2 linked regions of the Rhinolophus ferrumequinum genome follow. The protein of the gene in region 1 binds, or shares a complex with, the protein of each later gene. Links are inferred from orthologs where the notes say so. Each region holds a gene or a part of one and is shown in the gene's direction. Other genes may lie near its edges.

The links.
Region 2: the proteins of STK3 (region 1) and RASSF5 are in contact, whole or in part, in a crystal structure (PDB 4LGD), measured with the Homo sapiens proteins. The link is inferred for Rhinolophus ferrumequinum from reciprocal best matches to the Homo sapiens genes STK3 and RASSF5. Residues at the interface, in NP_006272.2 of Homo sapiens: Phe437, Phe439, Leu440, Leu445, Leu448, Gln449, Arg451, Leu452, Leu455, Asp456, Met458, Met459, Glu462, Ile463, Leu466, Arg467, Tyr470, Lys473, Arg474, Pro476, Ile477, Leu478, Ala480, Met481, Lys484, Gln488; in NP_872604.1 of Homo sapiens: Trp369, Asp370, Ala371, Phe372, Ile374, Leu377, Gln378, Phe380, Leu381, Leu384, Glu385, Glu387, Glu388, Lys391, Ile392, Val395, Gln396, Lys398, Tyr399, Phe402, Arg403, Lys405, Leu406, Ala409, Leu410, Ser413.

The regions. Positions count from the first base shown.
Region 1 is NC_046297.1:40,654,828-40,671,548, reverse strand, and holds the start of STK3 (serine/threonine-protein kinase 3), read left to right. Parts: upstream 1-8,328; 5' UTR 8,329-8,494; coding exon 8,495-8,520; intron 8,521-16,721. UniProt on the Homo sapiens protein: Stress-activated, pro-apoptotic kinase which, following caspase-cleavage, enters the nucleus and induces chromatin condensation followed by internucleosomal DNA fragmentation.
Region 2 is NC_046305.1:24,873,280-24,889,156, reverse strand, and holds the start of RASSF5 (ras association domain-containing protein 5), read left to right. Parts: upstream 1-9,338; 5' UTR 9,339-9,362; coding exon 9,363-9,822; intron 9,823-15,877. UniProt on the Homo sapiens protein: Potential tumor suppressor. Seems to be involved in lymphocyte adhesion by linking RAP1A activation upon T-cell receptor or chemokine stimulation to integrin activation.

The DNA.
Region 1 (16,721 bases):
TGAACATGTGGATGCACATGTCACTTGGAAGTAGTGTTTTGGATTTCTTTGGTTCAATACCCCAAAGTGGGATTACTGTGTCCTTCTTTGTCTCTTCTTATAGCTTTTGTTTTAAAGTCTATTTTATCTGGTGTAAGTATTGCTACCCCAGCTTTTTGTTTTCATTTCCATTTTCATGAAATATCTTTTTCCATCCCTTTAATTTTCAGTCTGTGTGTGTCTTTGGATCTGAAATGAGTCTCTGGTAGGGAGTATACATAAGGGTCTTGTTTTCTTATCCATTCAGCCACCCTATCTTTTGATTGGAGCATTTAATCCATTTACATTTAAAGTAATGGTTGATAGATATATAGTTATTGCCATTTTATTATTCATATTTTTGATCTTTTTTCTTCTTGTTGTCAAAGAAGTCCCTTTAACATTTCTTGTATATGTGCTGCTGAAGCGAGCACAACCTTTAACATTTCTTGTAATACTGGTTTTGTGGTTATGAATTCCTTTAGCTTTTTCTTGTCTGGGAAGCTCTTTATCTGTCCTTTGATTCTATATGATAACTTTGCTGAGTAAGCAATCTTAGTTGTAGGTCCTTGCTTTTCATCACTTTGAATATTTCATGCCAATCCCTTCTGGCCGGTAGTTTCTGTTGAGAAATCATCTAACAGTCTAATGGGAGCTCCCTTATAGGTAGCTAACTGCTTTTCTCTTGCTGCTTTTTAAGATTCTTTCTTTGTCTTTAAGCTTTGGCATTTTAATTATAATGTGTCTTGGTGTGGGTTTGAGTTCATCTTATGCAGGACTCTGTGCTTACATGTCTATTTCCTATTACATGTCTATGTCCTTGCTTATATGTCTATTTCCTTTGCCAGGTTAAGGAAATTTTCCATCATTATTTCTTCAAATAGGTTTTCAATTCCTTTTTCTTTTTCTTCTCCTTTTGTACACCTATGATGCGAATGTTGGTATTTTTGATGTTGTCCCCAAGGTCCCTTACACTATCTTCATTTTTTTGGACTCTTTTTTGTTGTTATTCTAATTGGGTGTTTTCTGCTACCTTATCTTCCAAATCACTGATTTGACCCTCTGCTTCATCTTATCACTATTGATTCCCTCTAATGTATTCTTTATTTTATTTATTATATTCTTCATTTCTGGCAGGTTCTTCTCTATGTTTTCTTTCTCCATTTCTATGTTTCCTATCTCTTTGTTGAAGTTCTTTCTGAGATCATTGAGCACCCTTATAACCACTGTTTGGAACTCTGTTTCTGATAGGTTGCTTATCTCCATTTTGTTTAGTTCTTTTTCTGGAGTTTTGTTCTGTTCTTTCATGTGGGACATGTTTCTTTGTCTCTCCATTTTGGATGCTTCCCTGCGTTTGTGTTTATGTATTAGGTAGAGATGCTATGTCTCCTGGTCTTAGTAGAGTGACCTTATGTAGTAGGTGTTCTGGGGGCCCAGTAGCTCAGTCTCCCTGGTCACCTTAGCTGGGTGCTCCAAGTGTGTCCCTTGTGTGGATTGTGTGTGCCCCCCTGTTGTAGTTGAGGCTTGGTGGCTGTTTGCACATTAATAGGAGGGATTGACCCTTGGGCAGATTGGTTGTGAGGACTGGGCATGACTACACTGGAGCAGCTGTTGTGCAGGGGCTGACCCTGTGGAGCAGGATTCACTTTAGCAGGTATCTGGTACTTTCACAGTCTGCCCTTGGGTTGTGTTGTCCTCAGAGACAGTGTGGGGACAGAGCCCCAAAAAGCAGTTTCCAGGCTCTCGGCCTCACATAGAAAGGTGCTGGCTCAGGTAGTAAATGGCCATCGACTGTGATCAAATGGCCAGCAGCTGTGGCTAGTTGGCCGTCAGCTGTAACCAGTGAGCCATTGGTCACGAATATAACTGCTGTGGCTACGCTAGCGAAAAAAAAAAGGGGGAGCTAGCAAGAAGATGGTGCTGAGTCTGCAAACGGCGCAGTGAGGGTTGAGAATTGTGTTGCTCCTGGTTCCTGTGTCTCCAACCCAGCCGCCAGTGAGAGTATAGTGGTATGACTCCCCTACCTATGGCTCCGTGGGTGTTCCTTTTTGGCCTCACCATGTCCTGAGTTTTTGTGTGGGGAGTGGGACCGGATACCCCGCCTGACACCCCTCACGACAGACAGCAAGATGGTGTTCCAGTGCAGTCCAGAGCCAGCCACTTGGTGTGCCAGCCACAGGGCTTCCTGGGAGTGGCCTCACCAAGTTCAGCTGCAGTGTGTGGCCTCCTTGAGGCCGCTCAGAATGAACCACAAAGCAATCTGCAGATGGCTGTCTGGGCTCCAAAGCAAACCGAGCTGGACTTGAAGGTGCCTGGGAGAGGCTAAGGTTCAAACCAAGTTCAACTGCCGCTAGTTCCAGGCTTGGGGCTGCCTAGTAAGTGGTACAGGGCATGCCTAGGCCAGATGTTCCTTGTTTGGGGTTTGTGAACCTTTGAGAGATTTCAGGGAAGTTTGAAGCATGAGCCAAGACAGGCCATTTTTATGAATAACCCACTGAAATCTGTTTCAGTGGACATACAAGTTGGGTGGGGCAAGGTCTCAGGGAATCACCAGGGTGGGATGAAGAGTATTAGCCAGGTTGATGGAGACTCAGATATGGCACTAGGTTACATCTGCATGCTGGGAGTAGGGGAGGCTTAGCAAAAGAACAATGCCTTCCAGCAGCACTTCTGTCTGGAAGAAAGCTGCTTCTCCAGCTCTCACCTTGAAACCAGACAATTCATTTATTCTCAATATGTCCCTGGCACCTTTTGAGCTGATGCTCTAGTGCTAGATCTCTGAGCGAGTGAGTCAGTCAGCAGGTAAGTGCATGCGTGGACCATTTTAGAGGAATATCTGGGACTCTAGCCACCCTCTGTCTCACTTAGCCACCATCTCTGCTGTTTTCACAGCTAGAAGTTGTGGGGACTTCTCTTCCTGGCACTGGAACCCTGGATTGGGAAGCCTGGTGTATGGCTGGGGCCCCTCTTTTCTCAGAAGTGACCTCTGTAGCCGAGATATCCATCCCGATTTTTAACTGCCACAGGTGGGTGTGGGACCAACCTGTTCCACATCTCTGACTCTCCTACTAGTTTCAACGTTTCTTCTTCTGTATGTCCCTTGTTATAGAATTTCTGTTCAGCTTGGAGGACCTAGCTCCATTTAAACAGAGCAGGCAATGAAGGATGAATTTGGAACTGAGAGAAAATAAATGGCAAATGACCAATGGTACACTCACTTTCACTTAACATGTAGTTTATGAATTATCTATGTTTCTAAATGTCTTGATGTTTTCTTTGTATGGAAATCCATTCATTCATTCAACAAACATTTATTCAATGACTGTAATATTCTAGGTACATATATTTAGCAGACATTATAGGCTGTTGCCTAATAACAATTTTTCCATTATTTCTTAATAGTAGATTTTAATTTTGTCCTTCTCTCATGCTTCTCCTGGCCATATACTTCAGGGAATGCTGGTCTCAGCCTCAACTTCAAGCCCAACTCCATGGTGGTAAATCACAATTGGTTTAAGCAGGTTTTTGTGACACCATTTCCTTTTTCAGAGATGGGTCTGTGACATAGTTCTGGACAATAGGATATGAACGGTCACCTGCAGAAGTCTTTTAGAATCGTTTTCCCCACCATCTTAAATGGTAGCATTCATAAAAAAATAACCCTCTTCTGTTGCTGGACATTCTCATGTCTCCATGTGATGCCTGGAACTTTGGTGGTCATTGTTTGAGGATAGGGAGATAGCATGAAGAGAACCTGCTGTGCACAGTAGAGCAGGAAATGAAAGCAAATCAAAGAATCAAACCTACAAACACCACTTCTAGGCTTCTTGTTTTAAAAATCATTTTGAGTTGTTACTTGTAGTTAACTGATATGCAAGACTTTTGTGATGACAAATATGACTAAGATACTATCCTTATTGCTAAGAAGCTTACAGTTTTGTTAGGGAAACAAATAAGTAAAATACAACTTTTAAATTGCTATGATAAAAGAGGATAGTGGTTGAATTCAAAAGCAATATGCCAATTTCAGGCTAACTATAAAATTATGTTGGAAAAAAGAAACCAATCTAGAGAAAATGCTTTGTAAACTCACCGTTGAAAGGAATAGTTCTGAATTTCTCTGGAAATAAAGTCACATAGTGTAATATATTAGACCAGAGTTTTCTCTTTGTCCCAAACGCTTCCTGGTAATAGTAGAAAAGATTGACAGTTGTTAATTAGTATTATTGTTCAAATTTAAAAATAAGAAAAAAAGTAGTTTTGCTTTTTTTCCCCTTCCCCCCCTCCCCTCCCAACTTCGATTGGGGCCATTGTTCTCAGTCTAATTGGGGAGGACGCAGTTCACTGGCCCATGTTGGTGTTATGAGCATTGTGTTCTACCTGGCTGAGCCAGCCGGTCGCTGGCTGCCGGCTGGCTGCCGACTGGCTGCTCACAGCAGCTCATGGCCACTCACAGCTGCCCATGGCAGTCCAGCTCCAGGTGGAGCCATTGTTCACAATCTAGCTGTAGAGGGTGGAGCTTACTGGCCCATGTGGGAATCAAACCGGCCACCTCGGTGTTAGGAGCACAGCGCTACAACGACCTGAGCCACCCAGCCACCCAGAAACATGTAGTTTTAATAAACAGCAGCAACTAGTATAACAAGGAAAAACTTATTTTATCTTAATATATTTCTCCTCATAAAACATGGTGATGTATGTATTCTGTGACAACGAATGCATTTTTGTTATTCAAAAGGAACTGGGTCCCAAATTGCAGATTTTTCTCAAATTTCTCTTGGAGCACTCAGTTGAGAATTCTGGTGAGCTGTTTTCTAGTATAATTAAAGCGTGTACTTAATCTTGATTCTAATTGGAACAGTTGGAAGCAGAAACAGATTACCCTACTTTCACAGTTAAGTGAAGCTGAGTGACCCTTATCTGAATCTCAAATTTTCCTATAGCTTTCATGTGTTCATGAAGGCTTGCTGCCTCTTATTCGTAGGTTGAATGAGGATGTCTATGCTTTGTTTCTTGGAATCTTCAGGCTGCTTTCTATAGGCAAATTAAAACAGGGACTTGAGCCCTTTTTTTTTTTCTGAGTAACTCAGGAAAAAAACAATTCCTTTTATTCAGTAACGCATGACATGCCAGGCACACTGGCCTTGGGGCCTTAGTACTTCCTTTGGCCTCACAGTCTCTTCTTAAAGCAATCTGTATGGCTCTCCCCTGAATTTCTTTAGTTGCCCTCTCATTAAGGCCTTCCTTAGCCACCCTATCTAAATTTCATCCCTTCCCCTCCACTTTATATTTCCTTTCCATATTTTATTTTTCTTCCTCACCAGTTTTTAGTACCTAATATTATTGATTAGTTTCTTATTTACCTTATTATGTTTCCCCACCCAGAATATAAACCTCATGAGGGCATGAATTTTTGTCTATTTTCTTTTCTGATGAATCCCCAGTACCTAGAACGGCATGCGTAAGTATTCAGTAAATATTTACTGACTGACTTACAGTGGGATAAGGCTTGGTATTGCAGTTGTAAAGGCCTGGGGTACAGTGCAGATTTTCTGTTTGGCCTAGAGTAACTCTCTTCACCCTTTTGAACCTCAGTTTTTTCACCTGTAAAGTAAAAACAACTACCTAATGAGGCAGTTTTAAGGGTTTAATGAGATAATGCAGGCCAAGTGTCTGATCTTATTAAAGTCATACAATAATTGTTAGTTCTCTCCCTTTCAAATTGAGGGGAGACCTTAGAGATTTTTCTGATATTATTCCTCCTCCTTCCACAAACCTTCTTTATGGGTGTCTCAGTCAGCGTTCCCATAGGAAACCCTTTTGAAGGTAGGGTCATTTGAGGAGGTTTGAGGTATAGGGGAACATAAGGAATAGAAGAGGAATCCAGGGAATAGTAGAATAGTCACCATCTATAAGCCCAAAGAGACAAGAAGAAGCAAGCAGAGTTTCACCCTAGGTTACCTCACAGGAAGGATACCAGGGGAATAAATAGCCTGATCTTATAGTCCTGTGGCCCTCACTGTGGTCAGTGGTCAAGTGGGGTACTCACGTAGCCAGAACCTGCAGCTGGAGAAAACAACCTTGAGCAGCATTCCTGGCCAATAAGAAACAATGAGCAGACAGAACCATAATCTGAGGAGAGAGAAGCGGGTCTAGGGAAAGTTTCTAAGGTTGTGCGTGTGCATTAGTTAAAAGAGCTGTCCTATAGTTAACTTTTCCTTATCATCATAGTAAAAAGCACTCTCATAAGTGGAATTTAAAATGCTAATGAGACATGCAACACCTGAATTTGCAGTAGGTACACTGGACAGGCGAGGTGTAGGACACGCCTCAGTATATTTTGGGGAAGAAGAAGGGAAAGAGGAAGAGGTGGCCCTGAACCCAAGAGCCTATAAAACTGCAGCTCCTGTAAGCCTTGGGAAGCCACATCCATTCTCTTTTGGAGTGTGCTCCTTTGGTGCATCAAGCTTTTGCTTTGATAAACTTGTCTCTCTGCAAAACTGTTTGCTTACTCTCTTGATTTCTATTCTGAGAGGGGCAAGGGGCCCTGTGCCAGTAACATCATCAGACACAACCATAAATCAAGGGGGCGGGAGCTCAGTGATGTGAGCCATACAGGTTAGCCTTCAGGACAGAAAACTGATGGAAAAGGATGGAGAGTGAATTTGGGGGAACAAAAGGAAGCTATCCAACCCCGTGTCCTAACTATGTATAAGGCACTTGCTATGCAAGGGACAGAGAAAATAAAGAAATAGTCCATTTCCCAGCAGACTCACAGTTGGGTTATGATGTCAGTCAAATAAACAGAACTTCAATACAGTGCAATAAGCACTATACAAAAAGCCAGCACAGTGTTATAGTCACATATAAGAAGCATCTCTTTCACCAAAGTGTCGGAAGTAGTGGGGTGATGATGTTGTGAGCTTGGCTGGGAAAGGCTTCCTGGAGATTAAGGTTGGTAACATAATTAAGAGTCCATTTTAAAGTATGAAAATTTGAGCCCATTTTAAAATGTGACAATTTTTTTAAAAGGGTGAAATGACCTTCTCTGAAAGATTTTTCTAACAAAATATAAGAAGATGGGAATAGAGCATAGAAGTGAGGATGAGAGTGAGAGATAGAATAATGAAATTTCAAAGGTTCTTCCTAGCTTTAACATTTTAATACCTTAGTTTTTGGTCCTGTTACTTCTGAACTGTTAGACTGTGGATCTTCAATAAACAAAATAATATAAAATTCTGCAATAATCTCTCTTGTTTACAGAATTTGGCTTAGGTTTCAATAATAAATGGTCTTTACAAACTTAAAATAACTAAATTTAGGGGGCAATGTAATGGTTTGAAAATAAATCATGTTAGTTTATTACATTGTGAAACAAAATAATGCAAAAAGAGGAATAACTATTAATAGACAAGTTTGAGTTGATGTTCATAAAGTTTCTTTATTCAACAGTCTCTTCATATTCTTTGTTCTATTCTTCAAAAGCTCTATATGACACTACATCTTGACAACTTCTGTCAAAAGCAAAGCCATTATATAGTAGCTGTATGTGGTCATAACAAAGATACTTATAGACAGAATTTAAGGTTCCGGTATACACACAACAGGGATGCAGGAAGGGGTCAAATTACAATGGCATAAGTGCTTTGGGAAGAAATCGGAAGGAAAGGGTGACAAGAGGGAAGGAAACAAACTTTCCTTGAGTACGTTTCTACGCATCACAATTTGTTCAGTTTGCCAGGTTACCCAGTTGAACAGCCCGCATTGAATCTGGTGCACTGAGAGAGCTCACTGCACTAATTGTTTTCTTTGTAATTAGACATAATTATTGTGAAATGTAGTGAGGAGATTGTCCACAAAATCAAAAAGAATTTCCAGATATAGTACTAAGTATCCTTAACTGTAGCTACAAATGTCAAATGGCTGGAGGAAAATATAATGAATAATTATAAACAGAACTAGACAGGGAAGCGTGCGTGGGCAGTTAGTGCTACTTCAAACAGCTGCAGAAGATGTATCCTTGAGAAATCTAGAAAAATGAATCAAATCGAATTGGGGCAAAAACAATGAGGGCAAGTGAGGAGTGCCAGCTCAAACGCATACACCCCTGGCCAGCTTACAGAGGCTCTGGGTCCTGACTAGGCCTTGCTCTCTCGCTCTTTCAATTTCTCCTCATTTTTTTCCCCTTCCCTGTACGAAGGCCAGCTCTTCCCTCCGCCGCCGAATCCGCCCTCGTTGCCCAGAGCCTGGCTCCGCCCACCCTCCCTGGACCGCGACCTGCGGCTGAGGGGCGGGGCGGTGCGGGAGGAGCCGCACTCTGGAGCGGGAGGGGGATCCGCCGCGGAGTTACGGGAAAGTTGTTCCGAGTTCCTGGAGTTTCCCTGTGTGGTTCCTGGGCTCCGCTGGCCAGTGCCTCGGCTTCTTTCCTCCCTCCCGCTTTCGCCGCCCACCCCGGTCCCTTCTGCCCCCGGCCGCCATGGAGCAGCCGCCGGCGCCCAAGAGGTAACAAACGCGGGGAGCGGGGAGAGGGAGGAAGGCGGCGGTCGCAGGGCGGGGGCGGCTAGGCCGGGCCGGACGGTGACAACCTCCCGGATTGCCGGGCCCGGAGCCGGGCCTACCGGGGGTCGGGAGGCTGGTCCCAGTGCCCGGCCGCGTCTCTGCGCGGGGCGAGGGGGTGAGAGGGGAGACGGACCGTCGCCTGCCCCGCGCCCGGCCTGGCGCGCGTGGAAAGTCGGGCATTGCCGGGCTCCCCGCGGCCAGACTCCCGGGACGGGCAGAGTTTTCCCCCGTGGCAAGTTCACGAAGCCAAGGAGACGTAAAACTAGGAAATTAATGGGCTTCTTAAAACCATGTCGACTTTCTTGTCAAATTTAAAAAATAATATTACCTTTTTACTTTTTTGAGAAGGCGGGTTTATTTACAGTTTAAGGAATTATATATTCATAGCTACACAGCCTGTAAAACTTGTGGATATGCCGCACTGACAGGTGTTCCTCAGCCCCCTCAAGTTCAGAAGTATTTATGGATGCAAGACAGGAATCTTAAACTAGAACCCCTCCCCCATATACTTTTGTTTTTGTTTTTTCTTTTAGCATATAAAAATAGTGATGTTTTGGTATTTACTGTTATATTTAATCTTTGATGTATTGGAAGTGTAAGAGTACACAGTAGATAGTTTGAGCTAATATTTGAAGTGATCTTAGAAAGCTAAATCAAGGCTATTCATTTACTTAAGTTTGTAATGTGCTTTCCCCCCAACCCCCAAATGAATCAATCAACTAAGTGATGCTGGATTAAAAAAACATTTAACTTCAGTTTTTCAGTTTTAGTTTATAAAATAAGGGTATTAATCTCTCTCCCAGATAGTGCTGTTGTGAAGATGAGTTTTGTGATTTTTGATACGTAGAGATCTTTAGATGGAAAGTGGTATATTCAAGAACATGAAATAATTAAAAAGGTAGGAACTTTGTGAGCCATTGTGAATCGGGTGACTAGATATGTGAGCCTTGAGGCCTGGAAACCATCTGTTCAGGTGAAAAGGGAGGCGGTGTGTGTGTGTGTGTGTGTGTGTGAGAGAGAGAGAGAGAGAGAGAGAGAGAGAGAGAGAGAGAGAGAGAGAGAGAGAGAGAGAGAGAGGTTTCCAAGAGACCTGCTATCAGACAGCCCTTGATAGATTCTTCTCTGGCATTTTGTAAAGTACCAGAATTCTAGTATTGATTGGGCACTCAGTTTTAATACTAGTGAAAAAAACAGGAAACTTTTTTTTCCTTTTTTGTTTTGGAAGTACTGTAAGGGGAACCTCTAAGCTAACACCCTAAGGCCAACTTGAACAACTCTAAATTGAAGTAGACCTCTATTCTGATTAGCTCTACTCTGTTATCACAGTTTCATTATAGATGTAAGAGAACCTCTGCCTTTGCAAGTACATTAGAGAACCTGGAGGGGTCAGGGCGAAGGGTGGGTGGCATACTTCACCATTTCATGGTAACTTACATTTTTTAAAGTACTGGTTACACATTTAGCAGACTTAGTTTTAGCTCTTTTAAGAGACACATGTTAATCCAGGAAGGCATTTTTGCAGAGCAAAAGATAAATGACAATTCCATATATTTGAATATCTCTTAAATTTTTTTTCATAATATTTTCATTTTCATAATATCATTTAATCCTTATAGCAACCCTGTTGAGTATGTTAGGTTACAGGCGTTTAATCCTATTTTGTAGATGAGGACACTAAGAGAGTTTGCCGCATGGAAGGCTATGAGAGAGAGAACCGATAGTGAGTTTTTGTATTGTCCCTATTAATCATTACCTTCTAATAATGAAATATAGCTACCATTTCTGAGATCATACTGTTTGCCAGGAGCTTTATATATACATTCCTTTATTTTATTGTCTTAAGAAATAGGAATCCTGGTTAGCAGTTTACTATGCTACTTCTAAATTTAATCTCTTCATCAGTAAGAATGTGTTGTGAGGAGTAAATGAGGTCATGTGAGAAGCACTTAGCACAGTGCTCTATCATGTGCTCTATAATGTTGTTAGTTTATGTTTTCCTTATTAAATGAAGCTCAGAGAGGTTAAATAACTTGGTCAGGTGGAGGAGGTGCCAGAATCTCCAGACTGGCTGCAAAGGCTGTGCACCCTCTCATTGTGTACAGTGATGCCTCTTTTTGAAACCCTTGCTTGCTTTCTAAGCATTCCATGATGTGGTGGTCAACTCTTTCTACAATTTTCTGGTCCCCTTTGCTTGTTAACTTAATCCCTGTAAGAATGGTCCTTTGCTTTTCTTTCTTTCTGTGTTGAGTAGCACTTCCTTAAGGCTCAGCCATTTTTACATGGTCACATTTATGTTGCTGATGTTCAAGTCTGTCCGAGTAGCGGCTGCTGCTCAGTTAGTAGTTTTGATTTTTCATGTAGATCCACTCTTTCATTATCCCTTCTAGTTGTCACTAGATCCTATCAAATTATTCATCAAAAAGTATATGGATTCATTTCTCCCCCTTTTGATTTTCAGTACTTCTACCCTCCATATTGCTGGGTTTTATGACCTTCACGCTTGATTTATAGCAGTGCCTTCCATCTGGGCACTGTAGTCCAATTTTCAAAAATTTGAGCAGCAGAAGGGCTCTGTGTGGAGTAGGGCAGGGCACTAGAACCTGGTCCCCAGGGCCTTGCCTCCTTCTATTCGCCTTTTGCTGTCCTACAGAACCTCCTAATGATTCATGTTTGCTTTAGTTCATCCTCCACATGGCTTCTGATTTATTTTTCTAAAGCAGCACTTCATTCATGCTACTCCTTTTTTTTTGTGGGGGGGAGGGTTGGGGCACACTAGTCAGTTTTGTACCCAAGGCTCCCATCACTTAATCTCAAGCCTTAACTTCCAGCCTTGTGTTACTATTCTCCAAGATCAGTTTGTCCTGAAGTTTCCCTTTTGTTCTTTATTTTGGTTGTAGGCTGTGGGTACTCCAAACTTTGCCTTTGTTCATGCTTTTCCTTTAGAAAAGTTTGTGTTGTTTTTTGCTAGTAACCTGTGTTGTTTTATTTTTCTTTCCAGGCCTGCTTCATAAAGTATCTTATTTGAGTACTTTCTAGCCTGAGATATTTCCCTGTATTCCTAATATGATATTCACTTGAGTATATGCCATGGTCATATTGCTCTTTTTTAATTATAAAATTTTAAACATACAAAAGATAATGAATGGGGACTAATTTAATCAATACTTACGCATCACTACCCAGCTTTAGAAATAAAATATTACCAATTCGGTTGAAGCCCCCTAAGTATATCTGTTCTCAGTTGCATTACTTCCCCATCCCCCACAGGGTTGTTTCTGTCTTGAACTGGGTATTTGTCATTTTCATACTTGTGTTACACTTTTAGCATGTTGTTCATATATATCTGATGTAGTGTTAGGCCTGGGTGTTAGGCTCAGCTTTGTGCTAACTTTGAAATTTGCTTCTTTGGCAATCATTCTTCTCCTCTGCGAATTGGGAGATTCCAATATGCAGCCAGATCTGAGAGTCATGACTAGATCTGTAAGGCTCCTCTTTCCCTCACATTATTGATTTGGTCTTCCCAGCAAGTCATGTATTAAACATAAGCAATTGATGTGGTCACCCATGTCACTGACATGAGGTACCAGAATGGCTTTTGGATTTCCTGATTTCCATAACAGGTCTGTCACAGAGGTCTGAGACTTTATTAAAATGACGTCTCTCTGGGAAGGGAAATCCATGAAATGGTTATTAATTATTAACATTTTGTAAGTTGAGTTTATCAAATTCCTTTGTAGGGGAACCTCTAGCTGAGATAAAAATGACCACGGAATAGATAAGTTTGACAGGTAGAAAGGAAATGGCGAAAACATGGGCTCTTAACCAAGTGTAACATTCATAGGAAAGGAAATGGGTCTCTGATAGACAGCTGGGCAACAAGGAGAACTCTGGGTGCATGAGGGTAGGTAGTTATATACAGTACTTGTCAAAGAGAAGATAGAATGTCATTGCTGGAGAGATATACTTTCCTCAATTAGAATATGGGATTAATAGTTATTTAAAATTTAAAATACATTGATTAAGGTATATTTGAAGGAAAAGTTGGTGTGAAACAGTGAAAAACACTGGAAGGATAATGAGAGAGTAAGTTACTGAAGCTTACTCTCAAGACAGGTGAAAGGAGTTCTTTGATTTAAGCTATAGTTGAATTCTGTGGCAAATTTTATTTTTTTATAGTATGAAAAGGTAGTTTGGAGGAAGTAAAATTGAAGATTGAAGTCTAAACATTAGGGTTGCAAAGTGCACTCACATAAATGAAGACTGAAGGCAAGAAAACAATCATTTCTTATGGGAAAATGTTGCTGTGAATGAATGGATGATCAGCCAGAAGATAGATTGTTATGGAATGCAAAAGCAAAGGGAAAGGGATGAAGATGTAGAATGGTAAAGTGGAAAGTATTCATATTTTGCTCAGCACATTGAGCCCACATTAGCCTATAGCATGAATAGCCCTGACTGTAGGCCAGAAATTAGGAGTGGAGATAAATAGACAGCAACAAGCCAGGAAAGTCCATAAGTAGGGTATTAGCAAAACCATGAAGACACTGCAATGAGAGAGGGGTGGACGTCATTTTACGTCTATCGTCTTAATTCATGTGTCCCTGGAATGTTAGAAAGGCGATATTCTTGTGCGCTTATTATCAGACAGATTCTCAAAGTGGGGCTTTGTTTTTGAGAAGTTGAACTCTAAGAACTCTTACAAAATAAAAGCAGTATAGCCTCAGGAGGAGGCCCTGGGGAAACTCCTAACTTTAGAGGCAAGCAACTGCAGGAGGTGTCCTTAGTCCAAGGGGAAAAGAATTGAGCAAACAGGAACATCTTTTTGCATTAATGACTTGGTCCCTACAGAGTATGCTCCTTTGGCATTTCTTGGTTAATTTGGGGTTGCACCAACTTCATTAGAGTTGATTTGGGCCCTGTAGACGGGATTAATCAATTGCCTCTTCCTTCTTAGAGGAAATGTGACAACAAAATCTGGATCAGTTCCTGTGCAAGCTAGTTACACATTAAGACAGTAAAGAAACTCAGTCTTCAGTCAACTCTAGGCAATGATTAATTTATCCACTGGTCTTTAAGGGGCTGAAATATGGCATATATTAGTACTGAAGAATTTGTTAGAAATCTAAGAAAAAGGTAAACATTTATTAAACACATCTAGGTTGAAGCTTGTTTTTCTGATGTAACTTAAATAGTCATTCCAGAAGTGTGTATCAGTAAAGCTTTAATAATAAAAGGTTTAAATTGAGTACTTCTTGTTTGGATTGTAAGGGGGAAAAAGTGCTTAGAATTTAATTTTTCTGATTTCAAAGAAGTGTGTTGAACTAGAGGAACTGTCACTTCAGGCCATTATGCATTAGTGGCTTTCAAAAAATAATTTTTTGTTTTTTAATATTGATGAAGAGATCCAGTGCAGACCCACATATATGTAAAACTAAAATAGAAATTTCATGACACGTACTATGTACGATGTTTTCTGGTAGTTTTCTATTTTCTGTTCTGTTTCATTTCATTGAAAAACTGCTGGTCATGATTCACCAAATTATTTTCATGGCCTATTAATGTTTGAAAAAACATTGTTGTATGTAGTAGAGACAGTCAGGAAATTGATTTTATTTCTAATTCCATCCTGACAGTTAAAAGCTTGATGATGGGGTTGTCAAAGGAATCCAGAGTGGTGTAATTATAACAACCTGTACACGCACTAGAGATATTCTTTAAGATTCTAAAAGGGGAAGAGGTGAAGGGGAGAGAGGAAACTATCATTTTAAAGCTACTATATTTTGAACACTTTATATATATCCCAATTAAAGTATGGAAGAGTGCAAAATGATTACCTATAATGTCTGACAGAGTTCACAAAGGAAAATGTAATACATAAAGGTTGCCATGAGGCAAAAGCTTATTTGCCTTCTGGTGTAGAATAGCCCCATGCCCTGGAAACATCCAACTATAATTATGGTGACCTCAATTTCTGACTCCCTACCAGATCCACCCTCTATAACTACCAAAGGTCTTTAGATTTTTTTTCTAAAGAGAACATTTATATTACCTGATAGAAACTTTCTTTTTTGTTTGTCCCAAGCTTATTTTTTGTTGTGATTTTATTTGAATTGCCTCATATGTTAGGCTTATTCTAATTAAGAAGATTTTTACTCTTAGAACAAAGATTCTATATTTGAAATGTCTTATTACAATTTTTTTTCCTACAGAGTCTCAAATTGAATAAGTGAAAGTAATAAATATATAAACAGACCTGTGAATAATAAAAATAAGTTCATTGTTTGCACGCCATGAATATTAAACTGTAGATTACCTTGAACTTCTTAAAAGTATAGTAAAGAATATATCTTTAGAAATGACTTTGTAGCAAAATGAAAATTACAGGGAATTGTTAATATATCAAACGTTTAGTAAAGAGATGGAATTGAGTAAGGTTTTTCAGACATTTCAGAAATATTGATGTAAATATTGATATCTTGATAAATACATACGCAAACACCCACACTTATAAAATTGGGGAAGTTGTTGAGCATATGTGATTCTAAGGATGAGGTAGTTTCTGTATTCAAAATATAGAATACTATTATCTGTCTGGATCTTTTTTTTCATTTTTAGGATATTTGGTTTCCTAGAGTCCTGTAATTGGAAAGAAATGCAGGTTAAAATTATTTTTGTAGTTTTGGCGAGCTTTCTATATATTTGAGGAAAACAGCTAATTTCCTTGACTTTCTCTCTGGAGCCACTCTTTCTCTCCTGCTCCCGCTGGGTTGCCCCATTCTCCCGTTTCTTTCTAAAAACTGATTCTCTTTACTCTCTGCTCGTTGCTCATAACAGAGATAGACTGTCAGCCTTGAGTTGATTCATTTGCTCATTTGTTCATATATTTAGTAATTAATAATTAGCAGCCTTTAAATGCCAGTGCTGGGAACACTGTTCAATGAAATGGATGGGATCTTTGCCCTGATAGAACATACGCTCTAGTTGGAGCTTGAGCTACGAAGGATAGAAGTAGCAGGTATTGAAAAAGAAAAATGGTGGAACCTGCTTAATAGGGCAGTTGGAGGAAGCTTCTCTGGAAAGGTAATACTTAAGCTGCTATAGGAGGTTGAGAAGTTATCCATGTGAGTAGCCAGAAAGAGTATTCCAGGTAGAGGTAAAAGCTATAAAAAGACCCTGAAGGTAGGAAAGTGTTTGCTGTGTGGGAGGAATTGAAATGAGGCCACTGTAGCTTGGTTGTGGAATTGATGTAGGAACATTTCTTTATGCGTGTGCTGGGATTGTCGTCCTGCGGAACCGAAGAATGGAAGCACGGACCAGAGAGGCAAGGAATTGCAGAAAAGGACAGTTTATTAAAGCAAAGAGATGCAGCTCTCAAACAAGAGGGGGTACCTGACTGGAATGCCCACTAGCTAAGGCAAAAGGCTTATGTTTTTATACTTTTTCTTGTATATCTGAGGAGAAAGGCTGGCGTCTACTGGTGCGGTCTTATCAGGTCTGCTCTGGCTCAGACTGGAGGAGGCTTTTGAAATAACCCAGCTGCCTCAGAGTGTAATTGATGTTTCTGTTCTGGTAGGAGTGAGTTATTTCAGGGCTAAGGCTTTGAAGGTATGACTGTTTTTGTTCATTCTACCAGGGAATTCCTGACTGCCTGATGTCATGCTAACCAACTTGCCTCAGAATGAGAGAAAGTGGTTGGAGATGAGGTCAGAGAGATGGGCGGGGGTTCATTGATGCAGGCCATGGAAAGGAATTTGGATTTAAGTTAGACTATAGAGTGCTGTCATTAAGCAGAATTTTCAACAGTTTATATGTTTAAAAGATCATTCTGGGTGCTTTGGGTCAAATAGATTGTAGAGGGTTAAGAATAAAGGCAGGGAAACAAGTTAGGAGGCTATTGTAATAGTGCATGACTAGAGAAGGTGGAGTCAGTGGAGATGGAGAGAAGTGAACAGATTTAAGTTGTATTTTGGAGTTAGAAATGAAGGACTCTCTGATAGACTAGATAGACTAGATGTGGGGAATGAGGAACAAATAATCAATTGTAACTCCTTGTTTTTGGGTTTGAGCAACTTGGGGGGTAGGGGAAGGCTGGGAGAGGAACAGGTTTGGGTATCTATAGTTTCTTTCTTAGAATTCCAAACTCA
Region 2 (15,877 bases), on another chromosome or scaffold:
TTCCCCCCCACCCCCCACCACTATTCAAAACATAGGCTGTGTCCTCAATATTGGGTTTGAGAACTGCTGTGGGTTGTTTGGAGCATTCCCTCATTTTGTCTAGAAGTAGAATGGTACCTGGGTAAGGCATTCAAATTTGTGCAAATTTAATCTTTAATCTTTAAATTTAATCTTTCCCCTCCAGTGCCTCCAGGGTCCTTTAACCAGAGCTGGACTATCCACATAGCCTAGACGGATTAGGGGACAGGGTATGCAGTAAAGTAGCCCCAATAGGGGAAGGAGACCAATGAGAAGCCCTACTTGATGCTTTAAAGCATGAAGGCAATATTACGCATAACCCCAGAAATCCTTCCTGCCTAACTTCCTGTTGTCTCCATGTCCTCAGAGGCCCCTCTGCTTGACCTGTCGGGACAGAAGGGAGGCAAGCTTGGTCCTGGCATCTGACATCCTCCATGCAGCTTCTCTACGGAAAGACAAGCAATCTCTAAAGATCTAGGGGAGGGTTGCTGGGGCGTTATTTGCATCAGGCCTAAGTGGCTTCATATATGCCATTTGGGCCTCATACCCATGGGTCACTTAAGCCTACTGGGTTCTGATTCTGGGGCCCCAGGAGCCAACTGCTGCCTCTGTTCACTGGGCCACCTACGGTCGGCTCTGCCAGCATGAGTTCAGGCTCTTCTGGCTCTTTAATGGCTCTGCAGGGAAATCCCACAGTGGGTTTTCCCTGGCAGCTGTGGCTGCCTCTGGACCCCACGTGTTTGGTGGAGCTCAGCAAGAGAGCCAGGGGATCCCTGAAAGCCAAGTGCAGATTGTTGCGGGACGATATGATCCAGGCTCTATGATCTCATGAGCAAAGCCTATCAGGGGACATACTCAAAGGCTTCAGTTTGTTCCTGTGTTGGGCAGAGCCACTGGCGTGGGTGCTTCCACCCACCTAAAGTTCTGCAGAGCTTCTGATTCCATCTCAGCAGGGAGTAAGCAACTGGACCAAGGCCCATGGCCAGAAGAACCTTGTAAGATCCTCAGGTACCTGAAGACCTCTTAAACTTCCCTCACTGTTCTCTGTGGTGATTCCTAACGTAACACTTCAAAAGAAGAGACTGTTCAGTTCCTCAGACGTGAAGTAAGTACCTGCAGTGAACCAAGTGACTAAGACGCATTGCCTGCCCCTGAGGAGCTCCCTCGGGGGAGGCAGGCATTTCAGTTTCACAAGGAGGGGGCTGTGATGAGAATGCACAGCTCGAGTGCAGTGTCATTTCACTGTCACCACCACCACAGGGCAGGGTGCTTGGTTTAGTCTGAGAGGGTGTTGGGGACGGAGTTGGGGAGCAGGTGACTCCAGGGTGGGGGCTTGGCAGATCAGCTGAGTTACCTAGGAAAGAAGGCATGGAAGGCATCCCCAGCAGTGGGAACAGCACCAGCCTCGGCGCGGAAAGAATCACAAGTATTCGTGTCACTGGAGAGTAAGTATTAAGGTGGTGCAAAAGTAATTGCGGGTTTTGCAATTATTTTTAACCTTTTAAACCGCAATTACTTTTGCACCAACCTAATAGAAGTAGGAAGTAGATGCTGAGGAAAGGGAGGAGCCAGACCCAAAGGTCCTCACAGGCCACACTAAGGAACTTGGGTTTTTCCCCAGGGATCCATAGAAACAGGTTTAGGTCAAGTCCAACTGGTATTTTAAAGATACATCTTTTTATGGGTAGGAATAGATTAGATATTTCCACAGAGTGCCTGAAACACAATGTGAGCTCTCTGCCCACCCTCCCCACGCCACCCCCCTCGGCTATGAGGCCCCCCCATACCAGGTGGGTGAAGAAACACAAGCTCTCATCTCAGAGCGGCTGTCAGTGGCTCAGATCAGTCACAAATATCTGGGAAGTGTCCACCCAGCAGTCAGATTCGTGGCCTCTTAAAACAGGCTGGCTCAAGTTGAAGGGGGCCTAACTGGAAGGAGATGGGGGACATGTCCCAGTTTGCAGGCAGGATGTGCAGCCAGCTCTGGAGGGCCTGGTGCTGCTCTCGCACTCTGATACTGCAGGGCTGTATCTCTGTCTGTCTCAGAATCCACGTAGTTTCCACTTTATAAGCTGGTGTCCAGGTTCAAAACACAGATTCTGGGACCCCACACACCGCCTGAGTCCAGTCGATAAGGGTGTGGCCCAGGATCCTGCATTGTTGATGAGCTTCCCCCCTCATCACGCTGTGATTCTTACACAAGCCAAAGTCTGAGAACGCTGAGGCAGAGTTTGCAGCTGTCCTGCAGAGGACATGTGAATGGCCCAGCATGGGCAGGTCCACTGAAATAGGCACTGCCCCCCCCCCCCCAACAGCTGAGGCAGAGAAGCCATTCTAATGGACAGGGTAGAGCTCCACAATGGCCTGCCCACTTTCCTGCTGGACCCACCATTTGCTCTCATGGGCCTGCCTCACGTTAGCAGGGGAGAGCTCAAAGGATTCCCAGCACTGGTCATTTGGGGATCACTTCCAAACTGCTTCCATGATTTTGTGAAGGGTGGGACTCCTGGAGTCTTTGCCCTCCATCTTACAAAGGATCCTGAATCAGGCAACCCCAATGGGAGGTGATAAGGGATGGCCAGGATGACCCCAAGTAGCTTCAGTTCTATTTTTCTTGGAAGCTCAGAATTACAGCAGGCACTTGAAACAGTTGGGTCCTTTCCTTGTACCCTTTGCCAGACAGAGAGGCAGGGAGTGAGGAAAGGAGAGAGGATGGGAAGGAAGGAGAGAAGAATGGAGAGAAATGGAGGGGTGGGGAGGGCAAGGGATTAGGAGGGAAGGAGAAGGAAAGGGAGAAAGAATGATGGGGAGAAGGAGCAGAAATGAGAGGAATAAGACAGACACAGAGGAGAGAGAGGGGTGTGTGTGGTGGACTGGGTGGGAGCAGGGATAGCCTATGAGGTCATCCAGGCCACTCTTCTCCTGCTGGCCTGTCACAATCCCAGTCCATGGCTTCCTGCCACAGCGACGAGCCCAGAGCTGGATTAGTGCTGGAATGTAAGTGGCTGTGGCTTGGAGGCTTCCCTCTGCCTGAGGAGAAAAAGCTGCTGACGAAAGTGCACGGAATATCTGAGTTTTTCCAACACAGAAATAAGAAACATACACACACAAATAATTCTTATCATAAGCCTGGCATAGTGGCCTGGCATGGGAAAATTCCATAACTGAGACAGAGGAGGCGCCACTGAGCTGCTTGAAAACAAGCCCCACCCACTCTCACCCAACATGGAGCCCTCCAAAGCCTGCTCACATTCCCACCCTGGTTTGCCCTTCTTGTCCCCAAGCACTGTCAAAGACCTACATGATCCCCATGGGAGCGCTCGAGTTTGGTGACACAAAGAAAGCCCCGTCCCCTGTAGTGGGAATGGTGACCTACCAGCCCTCACCCCTGGCCAGTTACTAGCACCTAGAGTCAGGACCACCCCAGCGACCAGCAACTTTGGAGCATGTACATGAGTCTTAACTGGAGTTTTCAGTACCATCCCCACTTCCACCCAGGCCCAGCAGTTCTTTAGCACCTTCTACTCTCCCTAGATCAGACAATTCCTTCATCTCCCTCCACCCCACCCCTCACACAGATGCCATGGCTTAAAGGGATGTTAAGAGTTAAGTCCTGGGCAGCTGGATGGCTCAATTGGTTAGAGCACGAGCTCTTATTGGTTAGAGCACCAGCTCTTAACAGGGTTGCCGGTTGAATTCCCACATGGGCCTGTGAACCGTTAGAATGGCTTCTCTGCCTCAGCTGTAAGGGGGGACAGTGCCTATTTCAGTGGATCTGCCCATGCTGGGCCATTCACATGTTCTCTGCAGGACGTCGCAAACTCTGCCTCAGTGTTCTAGTTGTGATCTGCGCCCTCCACAACTATATGGAAGGACAACGACTTGACTTGGAGCTCATGGGCCCTAGAAAAACATACTGTTTCCCAATATTCCCCAATTAAAAAAAAAAGAGTTAAGTCCTGGATTAGGTACAGGTGGGGAGCTACAGCAGCGTTCATTCATTAAACATTTAAGGAACATCTCCTATTTGCCCTGCGTAGTGTGATCAGAAAGACCAACAAGACCCAAGTGAGGGAGGCAGAAATGTCAAATTTTAATTGTGATTCATGTTAGGATGTAATATTAGAGACACAAGCGACAATGACAGCCCAGAGGAAAGAATGATGAATTAGTTCTCGGTGACTTGGGAAGGCTCTGTGGAAGACCTGGCACTTGGACTAGACCTTCAAAGTCAAACAGGATTTGATAGGGAAAGAAAAATGGAGCAAGATTTTGCTGATCTTTAAACTGCACCTACAAAGAGAGATCAGAGATTTTTAAACACTGTCGCTTTTACCACATCAGCCGGGCAGTGCAAAGGCAAAATCATGGATTTGAGTCCAGACTGTGACACGTTTTTGGGCCAGTCACATGACTTCTCTGAGCTTCCTTTTTCTCATCTGTAAGATAGGAGTACCAGCCATTTCACAGAGTGGCCATGAAGATGAAGTCATTCAAGCCATGAGTGCCTGCCACATTATAGGTGTTCGATGTGCATTTCTTGAGTAAATACGTATAACATGAGGATTTTCAAGGGACTTTCACAAACATTTTAATTCCCTGACAACGTTTTGTCATGGTCCCTGCTCATAGTCTAGCAATGGAAGGTATTACTGACCCTAATTACACATTGCAAACAACATCCACTTCCTTGGGAGGCTGAGCTCTGTGTGGGACAAGCTGCCCAAGAAGGGAAGGAAGTAGCTCGGAGAGCTAGAATCCTGCAATTAACAAGGGTCAGAGTGTTTTCTCTCAAATGTCTCTGGAGCGGTCACACAATCCCACATCACACAACCTACTGCCTTGGTCACATTTTCAAAGCATGGTCTGTGAGTCACGTTAATCAAACTCTCTTATAAAATACAGGACAATATCCAGACTTACTGAATCAATCTCTGGAGGTGGGGTTTGGGGTTTGGAACAAACTCATACTCATAAAGTTTGGGAAAGTGGGGGTGGAGGGCTGCCTCTTGTTGCCTCAGTCTGTACCACCCTTGCTCAGAGACACAGGGCTTTCTCCATTCAGGTCTATATTTAAATGTCTGCTCCTCAGAGACCACCCAATCTAATATCAGCCCCTGTCACTTTCTATTCCCATAATGTGCGTCATTTTTCATCATAACACTTATAACCTGACATTGTATTACACTTATGTTTGTATGTTTATTTTCTGGCCTTCCCACTAAAATGTAAGCTTCAGGAACATGTCTATGTCACCACTGTACTTTTAGTGCCCAGAACAGCACCTGATATATCATGGATATTTAATAATTGCTTGTTAAATAAATAGCTGCTCTGTGCCTTTGGAGACTGTGGTAGTGATGAGCTCTTTTCCCATTCTGAGCACACGGTAGGGTTGCACTTCTTGCTCCCTTGTGTAGGGTGGGCTGTGTAACCAGTTCTGGCCAATGAGTTGTGAGCAGAAGTGACTGGCGCTTTTAAAGTCTGGTGGAGGACCCTCCGGGCTCTCTCGACTTCCCTCTGGCATGGTGACTGGCAACATTAGATGAGGTCCCTGAGTAGTTTTGATGAACAGAGCCCCCCTGCCAAACATAAAGGTTATGTGAGAGAAAAAGTCTCTGGTTTAAAGGCACGGAGATTTGGGGGTTGATTATTACCGCAGCGTAACCTAACCTGTCCTGACAGGTGCCGTGATCCTATGCAGAGAGCAGAGCTGTCAGAGTCACTGGGAGCTCCCTAAACGCTTCGGGGATTTCAGGAGACTTCAAATGCCTCAAAGCCAAACAAAACCAAAAACTTCCCCTTCAGAAAGTCAGGGCACTTGTGTCCTTCCCTTTTCCTTCCTACTAGGAAGCTCAGTAGGGGGTTGGGGGGCAGCCTTGAAACAACTCACCCAGTGGGGGAACCGACACTCTCGGGGACCACCTCGGAAATGACTTCACACACTGACCACACAACTCAAACTCACTATCATAATGCTTCCCCCGTCAAAAGTAAAAACAGCACACCCACTCCTCAGGGAGTGAGTCACAAACAGAAAAAGTCAATGGCTCTGGGCCACGAGGATCTGCTAACATAGGGAAAAGCTCACAGTGGAGGTGTCTCCCCTGCTGATGCTGTGGTCTTACCCGTGTAGCCTGCATGACAAAGACTGAGCCAAACAATGCTGAAGTTCAAGCATCAGACATTGCCCTGACCCTACAATGAAAACAGAGTTTACATAGTCGTTTGTGCTTCCCTTGGGAGTACTAAGGAATGAGATGCGTCCTTGTGTGCACGCGTGGGAGGGAGGGGATGTTCTTTCAAGGAAGAAGGGACAGGACTGGACTGTGTTGGGAAAGATGGCATCAGAGGAGCAAGTCATAGGCAGGGAGGCTTCTGCTGGGTTCGGGCAAGGCAACTACCTCTCCAGACCTCAATTTCTTGGCTCAGGGAGATGAACCTTAAGATAAACTTGATAAACTTTTGGATTGGTTACATGAAGTTATGCTATCTCCATTTTCATCTCTGTCCCCTCCAGAAGCTAAATGTATGGCTCTGGGCCTGCATAGTGGGGGTATCCTCCCCCACTTAGTGCTGAGAGCAGCCAGCACCCACTTCTCCTGCTGCAGAGCTGCCTCAGGAAAACAGAAACCAGGGCATTTTTCTGTACAGCTCAGGCAAGGGGGAAGGGTTTTTTTGTTTGTTTGTTTTGTTATGCCTGATTATTCCATATAGTCTTCAGTCTTCCAGGGCCAGAGGAGACACTCATTCAATGAGCCTCTCTATCCTGGGAATCTGGCCTGAGTTGACCAAACTCATGCTTGGGGGGTGGTGGGGGGTGGTGGTAAAGAGCATAGATGTGATTGCTGGCAATTTTTTCACAAATGGCATTTCAAAACTGCCTCCCAGTAATGAACTCTTTGCCAGGTCCCCTCTTCTTGCCACACCAAGCTGGCACCCAGAGCTCACACTCGGTCCACACCCTAAACCTCACTCACTCCTGGGTGGGAGTGAGCTCCAGAACGAGTCTCAAGTTGGTGGAGATGGATAGATAACACAGGGTGGAAACAAGCAAATATTTATATGCAGTACAGGTTTCTGCATAACCCTGAGAGCCAGCTTGCAGAAAAAAGTGGGAGAGATGGGAATAAGAGAGCACAAAGGCGAACTGTACTTTCCTTTTTAAACATTCAGCTGAAAGCATTCCAGAATAGCCCTCCCATTGGGTTTTGCTCAGTCATGTCCCACTGCACTTCACCTGCCCTGTGGGGAAAAGGATGGAGAAACCCATTCTCTTATCACCATCTTAGATCTGGAGCAGTGGGGTTCCTGGAACAGCAGCATCAGTACCACCTGGGCACTTGTTAAAAATGTAAAATATCAAACCTCTGCCCCAGACACACTGACTCAGAAACTCTGTGTGTGTATGGGGGTGGTGGTGGTGGTGGTGGTGCACTAATCTGTGATTTAACAAGCCCTCCGGGTGATTGCCATGCATGCCAAAGTTTGAAAACCGCTGATGAAGAGAAAGCAAATTTCAGACAGGGGAGAGGAAAGGTGGAGTAGGGGAGAAGGGGGTGGCTGGTGGCTCACAATTCTTCATCTCAACTCCTCTTTGTAGCTCTGTGGTGTTTGTTGCTGTGGGTCATTCTTCCCACCTACCCAGAAACCACATCATGAGGTGAGAATTTCCAGCCTCTGGTGAGATCCAGGGACCCTGCAACATGTCCTCTGCTACAAACGCAGAGGACTCTATGATCATCCCTGCCCTGAGGGAGAAGCCATGGACCAAAGCAGGCTGGGAATTCCCTGGCCACTAGACTAGAATTGCTAGGAATTACCTAAAAATTACTCCGAGGGGAAAATGAAAAGCAAAGGTGGAGATTCCCCCCATCAGACACTAGGGGGAGACCCATCTCTAGCCTGGGAAGAGGAGGAGTCTGAGAGCTAGAAGAATTTAGACTATTCCTAAAATTGGTTTCTGGTGACTTCTGATAAACCAACCAACCCCTACCCGAGTTTTAAGAGGACAGGCAGTGATCACTGAGTCAGCGTGGTGGAGCTGGTAAGGACTACAAAAGCATACACCTGTCCCCTCACTCCCAGACTAATTTACAGTTAAAACCATAGAGGTAAAGAGGGCCCAGGGTCATACAACTGGTCTATGTCAAGACACAAGTTCCAAGATCCAGGAGTTCCGTTTCCTCACCTATGAGAGATAATCAGGACCCGCTATATAATTTGTGGGCCCTTTGTTAAAAAATTATTAAGGCTATCAGGACCGTGACAGCAGAGCATTAAAGTGGGGGGGGGTGACGGAGATGGTCGTGATGCTGGTAGCAAAGGGATCTGTACTTGGGTCCCACAGGTGAGCTGTCAATATCAGATACAAAGTAGGGCTTTGGTGTGTGTGAGGGGGGTGCGGGGCTGGTATTTCCACAGTAATTATAACAGCGGAGGACAGGAGGGTTTGGTTTTGGAAGTAAAGCTCTCCCAACCCACGGGCCGCTAGAGTGTTCTCACAATCCAGGGCCCGTGGTTACCCTAACCTCACTCTTCTGGGCAAGGAATATCCTACCGGCAGGGCAGCTAATAGAGGGGAAATCCACGGAGAGTGAAAGTCGCACGCGGATAGCCTCGCCCGCCGCGGGGGACAGCTTCTTGGGGTCAGCATCTGCAGCGTCCCCTCCGCCCCCGGCGCGTTCCCCCGCATCACCGGACTCCGCGCGGCTGTGGGAGTGAGAGAGAGAGCCCAGCATTTCCGACTACCGCGGGGCTTGGCTCGCCGGGGGCGGGGGGGGCGGGGGGGGCAGGGGGCAGAGTGGGAGGGAGAAAGAGCAAAGGAGCACATCCCTCCGGTCCGCTGGAAACAGGGAGCGTGGCGGGCGGACACCTACCTAGCCATGGACTTCTCGTTAGACTCCATTCCCTGCTAGCTCCCAAGCCCTTCCTTCCGCCCGCCCTCTCACCTGGGCGTGTTGGGGTGCGGGTGGGGGTGAATGGTGTGCGGGGAAATGACGGGAGAGGGATAGAGGCGGGCTGAAGGCAGACGGCCCTCTACAGAAATGCTTCATCTGAGTTGTACCGAATAGAGTCTTTCCCATACGAAATCCTCCAGTTGCTCCAGCTGACCAGTCCGCTTCCTGAAGACGCCCCGAAATCCACACCCACTCGGGCACCCCCCACTGCCAACCCTGCGGCTTGGTTGGTCCGCGGTTCCCTGGGGTCGTCCTTCCTGCCTCTCCGGAGTCTCCCCGCCCCCGCCCCGCCCCGCAGCCTGCGGTCCCTTTAAAGGCCGCTGGTCTGGGGCCGCCCTCCTCTCGAGGAGGACTCGGGAGTAACGCCGCCGCCGCGTGCCTGGCATGGCCATGGCGTCCCCGGCCATCGGGCAACGCCCGTACCGGCTGCTCTTGGACCCAGAACCGCCGCGCTATCTGCAGAGCCTGAGCGGCCCGGAGCCGCCGCCGCCGCCGCCTCCCGGCCGGTCCTCGTGCCGCTGTGCCCCCGCGCCCCTCTCCACTGCGCCCGGGGCGCACGAGGGGCGCAGCGCCCGAAGGGCTGCCCGAGGGGACCCGGAGCCCCCACCCCGAGCCTCCCGCCCCGCTCGCCCTCTCCGGCCTGGTCTGCAGCAGAGACTGCGGCGGCGGCCTGGAGCGCCCCGACCCCGCGATGTGCGGAGCATCTTCGAGCAGCCGCAGGATCCCCGCGTCCCGGCGGAGCGAGGCGAGGGGCACTGCTTCGCGCAACTGGCGCTGCGGAGCGGCAGAGGCTGGTGTGACCTGTGCGGCCAAGAAGTGCTGCAGCAGGCGCTGCGCTGCGCTAGTGAGTATGACGGTGGGCAAGGGGAGGGGCGCGCGGGAAGACCGCAGTCAATGGGCGAGCGGCTGGGACCGGGAGAGGGCATTGCGCTCCCTGGCTCCAGGGGATTCCTCAACTTTAAGGGAGATAAGCCCTGGAGACTGCTTCTTAGTCCGCTGTCGGGTATCTTTTAGTGACTGCCTACTGCCCAGATTTGGTTCTGCGGTATTTAGTAAATACCTTCTCCTGACGGGTGCATACCTATCCCCCCCCAGATACACACGTGTATACACACACACGCACACACACACACACAGACACGCAGGTTGGGGTTGATGGTGGAAGACGCAAGGTCATTCCGTTGTCTCCTGAGCACCCTCTTGCTTTTGTTGTAGGTTCTTGAGAAAGAGTTGTGAGAGTGAAACTGGTATTGAGTTGGCGATTTGACCCGTGCTTATTAAGGGTTAATGACAAAATGGCATGTTTGTTCATCTATGGTATAGGAGGCCCATGGTACATGTCCCTGTATGGTACATCCTCCAGGGGGCCCTGTTGGGACAGGAAGGAGACCTGGTTAGGCTTTGGATAGAAACAGCTGTGAGGCTGAAGAGAGTCGGAGGTCACCCTGGACCTGTGCCCCCTCCTGCTTTCTACCTCTGGCCCCTCAAACCTTTGGACTCTGCTCTAATGTTTGACTCTGCCCTGCTACCTCCTCTTCTTCCTCCTATGTAACTGCATCTGTCATCATGCTCTAAAATTACCCAACTCTGGCCTGGTCCCTTCATCCCCAGAGCTCTCAAGCCCCTCTGGCCTCCTCCTGAGTCAGGCTCTTCTCAAATCTGACTAGAAAACACTAGGCACCAAGCGTGCAGATTTTCTGAGCCAATCTGCAATATTCTTGGGAGTTTATTATTTTTCTCTTCCTACAGTTTTAGATGTGTGTGTTTTTTTCATGGGTGTCCTCTCCCCACCTCCATCCCCCCATTTTTGCTGTTGCCCATGTTTGGCAGAGGATATCCATGTGTTTATGTGTTTATATATGTATTTAAAATATCTGAGGCACAAAGCACAGACAATGGAATAACTCTAGCAAGCATCTCTGGAAATGGATTGTGGTTTGCATCTTTCAGCAAGGGCCCTTCCCCCATGATCTCCCATCTAGCTGCACCATTGGACAGCACCAGCTACTTCCACGTCAGGAAAACCCTACCTTGCCTCTCTGCAGCCGGTCCACAGCTGAGGCTGTACAGTATGCCTCCCATTGCAGCTGGCGGCAGGGGAAGAGAGCTCAGAATCTAAGCCAGGGTTAAATGGAAGGGGAAGATTGGAGGGGGAAGGGGGTGCTAGTCCCTCCAACACCAGAACTCACAGTTCAGATGCCGATTAAAAAGGAAAGAGCAAAAGTTGTAGAGGTGTGTATGTGGGTGGAGGGCTGTTATCACTGGTAAATGCCCCTGACCTTCCCGTAGAATTGAATGCCCGCGGATGTGTTGGCAGCTTTGGCCTTTTCAAGGCTCTTGGAGTACTTTACTATGATCACCAACCCTGTCGACACAGAGGCAGTATCCTCACTGTAATGGGTTTTATTGTGTGGGATTCCCGGGAATCTGCTTCACTGGAATTTTATTTTGTATTAAGATGTTTGGGGACTATATCAGTTGTTGAACATTTTGCATAGTTTTATGATTGGGGGGGTGGTGGTAACAGTGTATTTGTGTGTGTTTGTATGTGCATATGCATGATACTCTATGACTAAATGAATTGATGTTAACTTCACATTAAACTTTATTTCCTTCGATTGGTTCATAAATAGTTTCTCATGGCAGGAAGACCCAGGTGCATGGACATTTCCTCTGACTTTGTGTGACTTGGTGGCACTTGCATAGGTTTAATACCAACCAGGGATATCTGAACACCAGAGAGAGAGAGAGCAGAGCTGGAATCAAGGGGCTATGGAGAGGAGTCTCTGTTTGTCATTACAGATATTTAATTGTGGGCCTGCGACTGGATGGGAACAGTTAAGAAATATTCTGATGTGAAAATGAGGACGGGTAGGTGGAGACACAGCAAGCCGAACTCACTGAGCATCTTTCTTTAAACTGAAGGTCTAATTCCATGGCAGGGTTGGTTTATTTTATCTTTGTTCTAAAAAGCAAGGGTCTGAAGTACGACTTGTAAAAGGCAGCAGTATGCAATGATTAAGAGCACAGCCTGGAAGCAGAAGACCAGGGTGTGCATCCAGGGTGTGAACTCTGCCACCAAGTCTCAATGTGCCCCTGGGAATCTCTGTGTTCCGATTCCTTGTTTTAAAAAATGGGGAAGATAACATTACCTATTTCATCATGTTACTGTCAGAATGAAATGAATTGATATATATAAAGCACTTAGAACAGTGCCTAAAAAATGCAATATGAATGTTTAATGCAATGTGAATGTTACTATTATCCCCTCCCACTCAACAGTTGTGACAGTTTGTCTGGGTTTGGGACACTTCTTAGGATCACCTTCCCAAGCAATGCGTGCAGTTTTCAGATGCTGTCTGGCTGCTTAGCTAAGTGGGGTAGCGCGTGCCATTAGTATCCCCGGAAGTGCAGGTATCAGTGTCCTCTAGACACGGTCACTCTGCCTGCTGGCTGAGGAGCATCCTCACAGAACGTCAGTGGCTTAGTGGTCACCAGGATGCTGGCACCTTGTCTTTGTATCGTAGACCACACGCTCAGTAAGGAGTGGCTGACGAAGGCGGCAGCTTATTACTATTAAAGCTCCTTGCTCTTGGAAGCAAGCAGAAGGGCAGTGGGTATGTGAATGACATCTGTCTGAGCAGGAGGCTGACACTGGTGGGAGCCCTGTTGGCAAAATGGGCTTTTAATAAGGGAAGCTTTTAGAAAACTGCCTGCCTTTTTAGTGAAAGTTACTCTAATTTAAGCTTACCCCTGCTTCAAGGTCTGTATCTGAGCTCTGGTTAATGCTGGATTTGCCAACAGGGCGGTTCAGGGTTAATATTAATTTCCAGGATCGAAGGAATCGTGTTTGTTAGATAGAGAAGGAAATCCAATGAGGATTGGTGGGAGGGGAGAGAGAGAGAGAGAGAGAGAGAGAGAGAGAGAGAGAGAGAGAGAGGTGGTTGTGTGAATGTGTGCGTGTGTTTTGGGGTGGGGGCAGTGGCAGGGGTGAGAATATCCATTTCCAGCACTCCAGGAGGGAATGGTCAACATGAGAACCTCAGCAACTGTCTTTCAGCTTTGTTCTCAGGGAATATCCCTTATCATAGACCCTTTTCTCTGTAGAAGGCACATTAGGTTGACATTTGACTTTTCACCTCATTTTGGTGGATGTGTAAGCCTTCCTGGACCAGAGACTGATCTGGAAAATGGGGAAACCTAAGTCCCACTCAACCAAGAGGATTGCTTGGACGTACCTTGCATATTGCCAGTGAGTGCCATGCATCTGCTCCCGGAGCCTGTCTCTCTGGAAGGGGCGTTGTTCAGAGCTATGAAGTGTGAAGTGATTGGAATTATAGGGTTGAAAGGGGGGCCCTGGGGCTTATCATCCTAACTTACCCTTCCTGTGATACACATTAGTTATGGTGTGAGTATGAGGCATTTGCCATGGTCCTCAGGGGTGGGGAGGGGGACTTTCTTGGTGAATGAGGCTGGTGTCTCACAGGGCCCCTTGTCTAGCCTTTCCAGCCCTGCCTTGTCACTGCATGAATGGCTGGGCTTAACCCGCCTCTCTCTGCAGACTGGAACCACCCGTGTGACAGCCGTCGTCAGGTCATGCAGGCCCACACCTTGTCGTGGGTTCTTTGTAGAAGAGGTTACTGGGACATTGACGTGAGTCTCCCTGTACAGGAACCCTGGGCACTTGGATGATATTTTACTTGTCCAATGCATCCACCAGTGCTGAGGTGTGTGGCTTGAAGTATTTTCATAGACTCAGACCCATGTTTGGCTTTGGATGTTAGGAAAATGAAGCCCTGAGAGGAATGCTGTGTTGTTACAGATGGTGGAATCTGCGACTTCCCGTCCCTCTCCTGCCCCCGACTCTAACTGGTGTCTTCTTCTTGAGAAAGATCCTAGTGGAGTGTGGAGGGACAGAGAAAAGACCTGGAATGCTGAGAGAGTCCCTCTGAGGTCCCTAAGCGGTGCCTGTTTCCTCTCCTCCCCGCTTCCTGTCTTCTCAAAAGATGAAAGTGAAAGGATTAAATGTAGGCTTTATCATCAGAGCATGAAATTTTCTGATTATGGAGTGAGAGGGGCTTGAATCCCAGGTACAGTCAAAAATGATTAATGCCACTTGTCTGCCAGCCTAATTAGACTTGGTCATGAACGTGTGTGTTCGCCTGCTGATCCTGCAAGTTATTAGGTGGACATGAATTGACATCTCCCCTCTATACTGAGGGTTTGGTCTGGGATCCTCTCTCTTCTCCCCAAGTTTACCAGTGAATCAGCCTATGACAAGACTGGCAGCTAGGCCCTGAGTGACAGGGGAAGGACAGCCCCCAACTCAGCCCCAAGGGCCCTGACTGGCTGGTGAAGTGACTCACCTGCCCTGGGCATGCGCCAAAGGCTCTAGAGGGGTGGCTGAGGCTCATGGCAGGCCCAGCCCACTGGGAGAATGACACCGGAAGAATTCTTTGCAGGTCAATTGTGCCTTTTCTCTGAAGAGCCCAAAGTGTTTTCATTGTTCCTGCCATACATCCTTGGAATAGCTTCCTGAGGTCAGAACTTGGAGAGGCCTCTGCTGAGGTCTCATGTGGGTGGGAGTCGTCAGTCCACCTGCCTAGGGGCAGGGTAGGATTAGGGCGAACCAGACTGGCCTGGAAGGCCTTGGGGACATCTGTGGCTATCAAGCCATTTCCCTCCTTTGGTCTGTGCCCAGCACCTCTGTATCAGAGACAGCCCCCCAACTGCTGTCCCATGGGGCCCTCTTTGGCTCCCCACACCCTCCCTCATTCCTCAGTTTCCTCATGGAAGGAGCTGCTGGGCACTCTTGCCCTGCCCAGGATACCATTAAGGCTGGTGAGGGAGCTGTAAACACATCTCTGGCCTCATGGGAGGCCCTTCTTGTTTGCATTCCTTGGGTGAGGAGGTGACTATTCTTTGGTGGGTGAGTATTTGTGGGTGTGCAAAGCATGTAAAGAGATCATTCCCCCTGACGCCCCACCCATGCCTCAATCAGCACCCCCTGGTGTGGTCTCCTCAGCATGCTGGCAGGTCCGGCCTGTGCTGGTGGCAGGATGCTTTCTGCCTTTCCAGATGGCCTCCTGCCTCCTCTGCTGACCTTGGCCACCCACCCCTCCTGCGGGGCTCGGTCCGGCTTTCCCCTGGCAGGCTCGGGAAGTGCTGGCAGCAGCTGATGCTAGCAAGGCCAGCCCTGACTGCGGAGATGGTTGTACATTTAGTCACTTTCAGTTTTTTCCAAGAGTTTTGGCAAACGTCTCTCCACATGTTTGGGGCCAGATCTTGGTGTTGGGAGGGATGCTGAGCCAACTTAGGCTTGGGGACAGAGCGAGGAGGCCAAAGTGATGATGTCAGACCGGGCAGTCCCTGGAGGCACTGGCTTAAGTGGAATAAAATTGGTGCTAGGGAGTTGTCATGGGGAGACCTGCCCTCAAAGTCAAGACTATTATGACTCAGACCTGAGGAGGTGATATTTGGGTGTTCTTTGAAACACTCCACACTCCATGCTGAGGAGACATAGGCAGAGCATGGTTTGGTCTTTGGCCATAGTGGCTGGCAACTTCAGGTGGGGTCTGTTCTAGCCTGCCTGTGGTTCCTGGCATAGAGAAAGTTCTTGAGACGTGCACCCGTAAGAAAAGATGTGATGTTTGGTTTTTATATTGCCCTTTTTGGAGGGGAAGGAGTCTTTCCTGGCCTGGTAGCATGTGCCCAGTCTCCCTGTGGAGAATACCCTGTTTTGGCTGAGGGATCTGGTGACCCCTGGTTATTGTAAAAGGTCCCAGATTCTCTTCAGGATTGTCCTCCCCACACCTATTGCCCTGGCCCCATTGAGAGCGTCAGGGGGACAAGTGTGATCTGACATTGTGCTGAGGGTTTGTAGGAAGGGTGGTGTGGGG